Linked DNA regions of Saccharomyces cerevisiae S288C. Each later gene encodes a partner of the first gene's protein in a complex. Each region holds a gene or a part of one and is shown in the gene's direction. Other genes may lie near its edges.

What was found.
Region 2: the proteins of BCH1 (region 1) and ARF1 are in contact, whole or in part, in a crystal structure (PDB 4Q66), measured with the Saccharomyces cerevisiae proteins. Residues at the interface, in NP_013964.1 of Saccharomyces cerevisiae: Thr688, Lys689, Asn692, Glu693, Ala695, Ser696; in NP_010089.1 of Saccharomyces cerevisiae: Asp72 (codon at 1,715), Arg73 (codon at 1,718), Ile74 (codon at 1,721), Ser76 (codon at 1,727), Leu77 (codon at 1,730), Arg79 (codon at 1,736), His80 (codon at 1,739).
Region 3: BCH1 (region 1) and BCH2 share a complex: the UniProt entries of both Saccharomyces cerevisiae proteins name them as parts of the CHS5/6 complex.

The regions. Positions count from the first base shown.
Region 1 is NC_001145.3:741,705-745,467, forward strand, and holds the start of BCH1 (exomer complex subunit), read left to right. Parts: upstream 1-2,044; coding exon 2,045-3,763. Other genes in the region: GTPase-activating protein RNA1, read right to left, coding at 1-1,031; TAF9 (chromatin modification protein), read left to right, coding at 1,267-1,740. UniProt on the Saccharomyces cerevisiae protein: Member of the CHS5-ARF1P-binding proteins (CHAPS) which mediates export of specific cargo proteins, including chitin synthase CHS3.
Region 2 is NC_001136.10:114,820-117,529, forward strand, and holds ARF1 (Arf family GTPase ARF1), read left to right. Parts: upstream 1-1,501; coding exon 1,502-2,047; downstream 2,048-2,710. Other genes in the region: NUS1 (ditrans,polycis-polyprenyl diphosphate synthase), read left to right, coding at 1-980. UniProt on the Saccharomyces cerevisiae protein: GTP-binding protein involved in Golgi vesicle trafficking. May modulate vesicle budding and uncoating within the Golgi apparatus. May recruit the lipid transfer protein VPS13 to Golgi membranes.
Region 3 is NC_001143.9:489,715-493,477, forward strand, and holds the start of BCH2 (Bch2p), read left to right. Parts: upstream 1-1,649; coding exon 1,650-3,763. UniProt on the Saccharomyces cerevisiae protein: Member of the CHS5-ARF1P-binding proteins (CHAPS) which mediates export of specific cargo proteins, including chitin synthase CHS3.

The DNA.
Region 1 (3,763 bases):
TGGAGCAAATCTAAAGCATCAGAATCTTCATCTAATCTGTTACCATTTATTTCTAGCTTTTCCAATTCAGGTAAATTTCCCTTTTCCATAGCCGGTAAGAAGGATACTTCAATGGTTTCTTGAGCCATTTCATTATATTCGAATTTCAAGACATGCAAATTGGGGAATTTAACTTCGGTGAATACTTTAAAGACTTCATCTGAACCAGCAGTTTTCAAAAGACAGTCGTTCAAATTCAATTCAAATAAACTATCCTTCCATGTAGGCAAGGCCTTAGCAAGGATCAAAGAAGCATGTTTCGTGAAAGTATTGTCTTGAAGATCCAAGATTTCCAAGTTTTTCAAGTACTGTAAACCGTAATGAATTAGCGTGGCGACACCTTTAGGCCTAATACCATTTTGGTACAGCTTTACGACTTTCAAACCTTCGGAGTGGCTTTTCAAACCCAGAGCTAAGTAGACTGCGGATCCATTCTCTAATCTATTTCTACCACAGATAAAAGTTTCCAAAAATGGTTTGGAAGCAGCTTTCTTATTTTGAGCGAGATGAAATAGGGCCTTACCAATCCTTTCACCAGCAAAAGGGCCCATACCATTGTTACTTAAGATCAAATGTTTGATATTCACGGCATGTGCAATGTAATCTTCTAGTAACTCGATTGTTCTTAGCCCAAACGCATTATCAGAAAGGTTCACAATCTCCAAGTGAGGACATTTCAACAGAACAGGCAATAAAAACTTCAACGAATCAACGACTTCGTCAACCAACCTCGAAGTGTATAAGTCAGCAAAATTTACTTCAACCAAAGATTCCCTGACCTGTGTATTTTCAGCGATGCATTTAGCTAATGCTTCCGAAGCTTCAGTACCGATTGTATTCCCTGAAAGGTCTAATTTGGTACAGGTTTTCAAAGCTGCCAATTCTTCCAGGTATGGTTTGATATCGTCACTGGTTGTTAACTTGAGTGCCTTCCCAGAGATGGAGTAAACTTGTTCTTCCTCGTGCTGAGGAACGAAGTGCAAGGTAGCCATAGCTAAAAATCTGTTTCGAAAGACAGCCTGTTAAAATGGCCTATATTCACCTTTTACCGTGATATTATGCCTTTGATCAATATCTTCCTAATAAATTTTTTTCCATTAATTGTCCCACAACGTGCATAGTGACATGCATTCCATGACCAAACTAAGAGCTTTAAATCAAAAGTAGAATTTGACATTATGAAACAACACGACAACAAGAAAAGACTAGAGGACTTCACAGACCATTATGAACGGCGGAGGCAAGAATGTTTTGAATAAAAACTCAGTGGGCTCAGTATCAGAAGTTGGTCCGGACTCAACACAAGAGGAAACGCCACGAGATGTCCGTCTTTTGCATCTGCTCCTCGCATCACAGTCGATTCATCAATATGAGGACCAAGTACCGCTACAATTGATGGATTTTGCACATAGGTACACACAAGGAGTCCTTAAGGACGCGTTGGTTTACAACGACTACGCTGGCAGTGGAAATTCTGCCGGCAGTGGATTAGGAGTAGAAGACATACGGCTTGCCATTGCAGCGAGAACACAATACCAATTTAAGCCTACGGCACCTAAGGAGCTCATGTTACAGTTAGCTGCGGAAAGAAACAAGAAGGCATTACCTCAAGTGATGGGTACGTGGGGTGTCAGGCTTCCCCCAGAAAAATATTGTCTCACAGCGAAGGAGTGGGACCTTGAGGACCCAAAGTCTATGTGAATGCACCGCTTATATATCATAAGTACACTAAATCAAGTTCTTCCGGAAGATGCGTCATGTAGAATGCATAATAGAGTAATATACACTAAATAATGCGCTAGTCGTGTATCGTGATCATGTTCTCTAATGTTCTTTTTCCTGCCTGCCCTTTCCTACATGGAAAGTTAGAGAAATGAGATCTACACGATAATGTAGTAACAAATGGACCCTTAAACATCTCAATTCATCTTCTTGAGAGCACTTTCCGCGCTGTATTGATTTTTAGAACGTGAAAAGGATAAACTGAAAACTTGAAGTCCTAACCATGTTGTCTCAAACCTCCATACCGGAAGTGAAAGAAGACGTGATAGGCTATGCGCTACACCAGAGGAGAGCCAGAGTGGGACAATTCCAAGACTTGGGTCCGCCTGATTTAATTACTTTGATCAAATCGTTACCTTCATCCTCGAGCACAACAACTGCTACTGCCTCCGCCAACGATAACGGAGCAACTTCAAACATCAATGGACAAGATCCTACGACCATAGTTACGGAGTTACATTCCCATGACAAATTAAAGGGGCAGATCGGCACTTTCTTTTACTGTATGGGTATCGATACTTCGGATCCAACTTCTATTACAATCTTTGCCAAAAAGATAACCGATCTTTTCTTAGACACGCCCCAAATTTGGTTTGGTAAGAAGAAGCACTTTCACGTATCGAAGATTTCTATCAGTTCTTGGAATGCGTTTAGGAAATATGATGTTAACATTATAGTTCACATTCCAGGAACTGTGCAAACCTACATTATAAATAGCGACGGTGAACAATCGCAACTTCCCTCCGTGGCAGAAGCGTCATCTGGCCGCAACTCACAGGATTTAAACGTCAACATGATTTGGGCGGAAACGTTTATGAGTGGTATTGTACGTGACATTATGATTATGAAAGATAATCGTGCGGATGGAGAATCCCAGAATTTGGTAGAAACACTAATTTTCAATCCATTTACCTCGGGTGAGTTGGAAGATGTTGCCAATAACTTTATTAAACTGTTCCCCTTGGTCTATGAAAAAGGTGTTTATTTAGATGCACCTACTCACGTTTTAAATCCCTCGTTAACCAATAATTATTTAGTGGAAACTTTAGTGGAAATAGTTAGGTTAACTAAGAGTTTGGAAGCATGTCGTAAAATGCTCAAGAAGTTAATAGAAATTCATCCAGAAGCAGTAATAATATTAATTCGTGTTTATTTTGCGTGCGATTTAGAGATAGATGCAGTTGACCTGATCAACGAGCAACTAAATTCCCCCTCTTCGTTCTTAGCCGACGATTCAAAGACTAGCCATATCCAGCTAATCTTCAAATCCGAATTATTAAGTATTCAAAGTGAATTCTTACTGGATGTCAAGAGAGATTACAAGCTTGCTAAGGAAGTAGCCATGGAGGCTGTTAACTGTGCACCAAACGAATTTAAAACTTGGTATTTATTGACTAGAATATACATTAAACTAAACGATATGTCAAATGCCTTGCTATCGTTAAACGCCTGCCCCATGTCACAGGTTAAGGAAAAATACGTTCTTAGAAGAATTGCGCCTATTACTTCAGATGAAAATCTTCATCTGCCATTACCATTGGATGCCTCAATTGAGGAGATTTCGTCATTGAACCCCATGGATGTCCAGTTGGAGCAAAAGTCCGCAGATCCAAACCTAGTCAATCTCTCTGCGTCAAGTTTAAAGTCTACTTTCCAACTAGCCTATAAATTATTGACAGAAATTGTCCAAATAACAGGATGGGAGCAGCTGTTGAAATATAGATCAAAAATTTTCGTTATGGAAGACGAGTACCAAGGCTCCACTTCTTCCATTGATGAAGCAGAAGTTCGCGGTAATGATATATCCAAAATGAGATCAAAGAGGCTATGCGAAAGATGGTTGGATAATCTCTTCATGTTACTATACGAAGATTTGAAAACTTACACCGATTGGCAATCAGAGCAATTGTATTTTGATGCTCAAAACAGTAAATATCACAAA
Region 2 (2,710 bases), on another chromosome or scaffold:
CAAAAACCAGAGCTTTAAAGGCCGTTACAAGTATCATTGCAGACGCCGATGAGAACCCTCAGAAGAAAGTGAACAATGAGACGAATGGAGTCCAAAAGCAAAAGACAGAAGATTTGAGTAAAAGAATAGGTAAATTTGAATACCTTTTTTACAAGTTTTTACTTGTGTTGTTATACATCTGCTTCGGGTTGTTTCGGTACGGTCAATACCAATATAATAAAATGAAACTAAGAATATTCAGTATCATCTACAACCATGCATATACACCACAGTTGATTAGACAGGACGTTATTCCTCTGAAAAAAATTCCTAAAAGGTTGGCCGCTATCTTGGAAGTCAAGCCAGTTGGCGACGTTGGCGGCGGTGTGACAGGTTTATTAAATGACGCGAGTGAAATTGTTTGCTGGACTGTTTCAGCTGGTATAAAACATTTGATGTTGTACGATTACGATGGAATATTACAAAGAAATGTTCCAGAGCTGAGAATGGAAATTCATTCCAACCTGGCTAAATATTTTGGGCCAGCTCATGTTCCAAACTACGCTGTTAAAATACCTCATTCTAACAAGATATTCTACAATCTAGACGGAATTGAAACCGAGACTGATGTAGGCAATGAGATAGAAGCTAACCAAGAAAAGGACAAAATTGCTATTGAAATTTCTTTATTGTCTAACAGAGATGGTAGAGAAACGATTGTCGATCTGACCAAAACTATGGCTGAGTTATGTGCGGTTAACGAATTGAGCGTTTCTGACATCACAATGGATTTAGTTGATTCAGAACTGAAACAACTAGTTGGACCCGAACCAGATTTACTGTTATACTTCGGGCCTTCGTTGGATTTACAAGGGTTCCCACCTTGGCATATTAGATTAACCGAATTTTATTGGGAAAAAGATAACAACGAAGTCATATATTCGGTTTTCATCCGCGGCCTAAGACAGTACGCAGGATGTAAAGTGAATGTTGGTAAATGATACTTAAGAGCTAAACGAAAAGATAAGTATCTCGCTCAACCTTTTAATTTTGCACAGTTGAATTCTCGTCTGATACTTAAGAAAGTCATTGCCCACATATATAACAGTAGTAATAATGATAATGATAGCAATAGTTTTAAGCTAGCTACTTAGTTGCATTTTTCAATAGTTTAGTAAAAAAAGTCACGCAATAAGCTCTCAAGAAGCCACTAATACCGTAATGATAGCAGTTTATTGTAGAAAAACCATGTTATTACCCTTCCCTTTTTATTTCTTTTCGCGTTGCAAATCACATATAACGAGGTGGCTTGTATTTGTCAAACCAAAAAAAAAAATGAAAATCGAAAAATGGAAAAACAGAGAGAGAAACGGAATCTTTGACACGTTCTCGATCCACTTGTTTATCGAGGTGGTTTTTATAAGTCTTACTAGATAGAAAGTTCATTTTGTTTTGAAACTTTTTGGAACCTCTGGCATTGAAGGTATAAGAAAGAACTCAAACAGGTTTAATAGAATTAAAAATGGGTTTGTTTGCCTCTAAGTTGTTCAGTAACCTTTTTGGTAACAAAGAAATGCGTATTCTTATGGTTGGTCTTGATGGTGCTGGTAAGACCACCGTTTTGTACAAGTTGAAATTGGGTGAAGTTATCACTACCATTCCAACAATTGGTTTCAACGTTGAAACTGTCCAATATAAGAACATTTCATTCACTGTCTGGGATGTCGGTGGACAAGACAGAATTAGATCTCTATGGAGACACTACTACAGAAACACTGAAGGTGTTATCTTTGTTGTCGATTCTAACGATAGATCGCGTATTGGTGAAGCTAGAGAAGTTATGCAAAGAATGTTGAACGAAGATGAATTGAGAAACGCCGCTTGGTTGGTGTTCGCTAACAAGCAAGATTTGCCAGAAGCCATGTCTGCTGCTGAAATCACTGAAAAACTAGGTTTACATTCTATTAGAAACCGTCCATGGTTTATCCAAGCCACGTGTGCTACCTCCGGTGAAGGTTTGTATGAAGGTTTGGAATGGTTAAGTAACAGTTTGAAAAACTCAACTTAAAAATTCTAGAATATGGATCAAATACGCTTGTATAAACTAAATGAAACATAAAGATTAAGAACTTAAGAGGCCAACGTCGATGGATTTATTGACGATCACCAGCCAACACATATAGATTTTAGTGTAAAAGCAATAAAAACCAAGATAATAAAATAAAAAAATACTGAAGAAGCCTAACTAGTATAAACTACTTTAACTAATAATGGCAATTTGATATAGAAACAAAGAAACATGATATATTTAGGATATTATACAACGCATTTTCATTTGTTTTACAGCACCCCTGCGTGAATCATATATTGACGTTTCGCTCTCAGGTCCACCGTGTTCTCAAAAGATACTTTTAAAACCTAAAACACACGAAATCATATTATGATAATTCAGAATGATAGTGTGGTACTGTGTCAATTGACTGTTCAAGACTGAAGAGGATCTTTGATTTGTTGTTACTCAACAAATAATCTTCACGAAAACTTTCTCAATCTGGGGACTGTATTAATCTCAGACCCATACATATCTACACCCATAACTTTTTACATTTAATTTTTTATCACATAATAGGTAGCTTAAATTGTAAAGTCGCAAAAAAAAATGGCAGCGCAGCCTCTCCGGGTGAACCCCACGACAACTTACCTGGCACTCCATGCACTAACGGGCGGGTTT
Region 3 (3,763 bases), on another chromosome or scaffold:
GAAGAAATCTATGATTAATGATGGCTTTGTCACTATTTGAGCAGTATGATTCTCATTTTACACCATAAACTTCACCAATTTTTTCATTTTTTTTTCATTTTTCTTCCGGATGAAATTTATCTATTGTAAAAAAAAAAAAACATTATGCTATGTAGAAAGCTTTAAATATGGCGACAATGTTGCTGTGTTGTATCAAATTCCCTGGATAGAGTCGTGCACTCTTAATGTGGCGAAAATGATGGCATTGCCTCCTTATTCTTTCTCATAAAAGGTATTACTAATCGTTATCTATTACCAACATAAGATATAGCTAGCAATTCTTGTAAGCACAATTACATATGTTTAGTTTTATTTTGAAAAGCAATACAAGCGCAAATTGTTTGGTCTGTTTTGGAGAGATCACCATGTAGCTGGCACTGCTGCAGATTGTCATGTAGTAAACATACTAGTAAAATATTCTTAAAATAATTTGATCAGATCAGTTTTGTTCTTCTATCTCCTATGTCATAACATACCGCTCATTTTTACTATCGTTATGTTTTTCATTCAGAAATTTTATTTTTCTTTAGGTCTTGAGTATCGACTTCCACAACATTGGATGACTGTACCTCACGATTTGTGTATTCTATTTATGCAGTATGTAATAACATATTAGTGTCACGACCGCTAGCCAATATACGATAGTGGATCTTTATTCCAAAAAATACTTATCTAACATGTTTAACAACAGATCAGATACTAAAACTTTTTGTCTGAATAAGAATTAACTACCATCTATGCACTAGCACACAAATTAGCAGTATGTTCTCATACACAGTGTAAGAAGATGACATTAAGAATGAGAAACGGTTATTAAATATAATAGAAGCTGAAATGCAAGCATTGATAACGTAACAAGATAAAGAATAAGCATATAAAGTAAAAAAACGAGACAATAACATTACTATTCATGAATACCGATTCCTTCTTCCGCATTTCTAATATCCTCGAAGAGAACTTTTAGTATATTGTGTATCATAGCCTTCAACAATAATGGAACACCAGTAATTATCATATTATTCAAACATTTCTCAATGATAGCTTTTATTCACAATGGAACCCAACAATTATTTCAAAATTCACACATTTCTTACTTCTTAGAGCAGGATTAGTTGGGTCTGGTAATTTGAACTACTATATTAGGTAAAAAATCATGCAATAAATAGTGCTGATACTTAGGGTTCTCAATTTTTAATGTCTCTTAATAATTCTTGTTCCTCGTGGCCCAATGGTCACGGCGTCTGGCTACGAACCAGAAGATTCCAGGTTCAAGTCCTGGCGGGGAAGAATTTTTTTACTTTTATAATTTTCTTATTATCTTTTCAGTTATTGAGTAAAAATATTATAATATTGGAAATGCTACGTTGCCAGTCCTGGTGCCGTACAATGCCGTATTATTTTAGCAATTCGTCATCAGGTTTCCGAGGCATTGTTACACCGTTTGGGAAAAATAAGATGTATGCACAATGGTGTATCTAAATTCAACATAAAAATAAAAAAAACAAAATGACAAACGGCAATAAAGAGACATTGTGTGCAAAGAAAGGGCATATATATCAAGTAGTATAAGTAGTAAAGTACAGTTAACAGATCAATTGGCCTCGAGGAATATGAGTTTTTTATGGGGGTCTACAAAGTCCAAGAAAGGCAAGAATAAAAAGGCTGCAGGTTCTCTTCCGTCAGGTGTTGTTCCACAGCAACGTGTGAAACCAACACGTAAAAACGTTCCTATAGATTATCCAAGAACTTTGGAAAAAGTACATGGTGAAAGTTTAATCTTTAGGACGTCCCTTTTAAGTGAATTGGTGAGCACTGGTAAATCTGGTATTGGTCCTCCAGACTTGATTCATTGTACAGAGTTAGATAAATTTCACGATGAGAAAATAGGTGAATTCTTTTACATCACGGGGATCGACGCCTCGAGCGTCTCTATGCCAATTGCATTTTTGAAGCTGATAAAATGGAATGATGGTAAGAAACTAAAATCAGCATCTTTGAAGAACGACGACATCACAACCTACTGCACTTTCAATATCTTTCAAAAATTGGACATTAGATTAAGATATGAATCTGAAGATGTTTATCAAGTTAATATCGTTGACTGTTTAAATGGCAACAATGAAATACCGTTGAGTGATCTTATTTGGGAAGAAACTTTCGTTAGCTGTTGCATAAGAAGCGTAATTATTAATTCAGATTTTGAAAGAAAAATACCTGGGCTAGTGGAATTACCATTTGTTTTTGAGAACAGATGCGCGAGTGATTATAAAAGGGTGATAGATTCGTTATGCAAATTTTTGCCAAGATTTTTAGAATGTGGTTGGGATTCTACAAAGAGCGTCTATGCAACGATACTGAATAACTACCTAACTGAATCATTATTAGTATTTCTGTCTATAACTCCAGAATTCATAACAGACTATGCGATCCAGGTTTTAGACAACTTGATGACGAATGACCCGTCAAATTCTAGATATTACGCTATTGTAATTATTTCTATCATGGAGCGAAGTAATGACCGCGATGTAGAAATGATCAAACGGATACACGAGATATTAGACCTATTACTACCCGTACTGTATGGATTGCCATCCGATGAACCTTACATTTCTGATTTGATCAATTGCATCACCGATGTATTAAGCATCCAAGCAAGGTTTCTATTGAACAATAACGACTATGAACTTTCTTTATCCATTTCCACATTGGCCACGAATTTATCTTCTGATAATTTTGAATCTTGGTATCTGTTATCTAAAGGCTATATTTTTTCACAACAGTATGATAAGGCACTGCTCTCAATCAATTCGATGCCCTGTTTAGCGGAATATGATATCGTTAAACAAGCCCAGATTAACGCTTTTAAGTTTTATATGAACTACTACAAGGCACCACTATGTCATAGCAGAGAACACTGTACCATGACATCACACGAGTTAAATCACCTCATGAATATTATGCATTATGAAAATGAGTTGGAGTTGAAGACAATAATATTTGGACGCACTGTAATGCCCAATGAATCTAAGTATGGATGTATTGAAGAGATATGGAATAAATCCTGTCTTGAATTAGGACCTATTTGTGGACCACAGAGTGACAATCTCATAAACTTTGTATCTCAGCAGGAGGTAAATACAGTAGGAGATATGCTGTTACTAAAACGAAGCAAAGAAACCAGACAAGAGAGTTGGTTTATAAAGCAAGTACGTCTTCTGTTGATGGAATTAGTCGCTAGAATCGGCTGGAACGCCTTACTTCAGCTAAGATCTGACGTTTTCGTTATGGAGAGTAAATTCAAAATGATAGAATCTTCGGACAAGCTGTCCACAGAATTACGCCAGAAGAGGCTCTGTCAGAGATGGTTTGATGCTATGTTTCTGGACGTTTACGAAGATTTAAGTATTAGCACTTCATCTCAAGAAAATAAGGCTACGGCGAAATACAGCGGGTTGGAATGGGAACTACTTGGCTTAACTCTGCTTCGAGTGAGTGACTTACCCGATGCAGTAGCGTGTCTACGAACTAGTATTTTGGCAAGGTTTGACCCTATTAGTTGTCACCATCTGTTGAACTTTTATTTAACCATGGATTTTAATGATGAGTTTATGAGAAGGTTTGACGTCGATATCATTTTAGATCTATTAGTGAAATTGATCTCCTTTCGGATACGATTCTATGATAGATTTCAGATATTTTCCCTTCAAGTACTAAGGAAACTAGA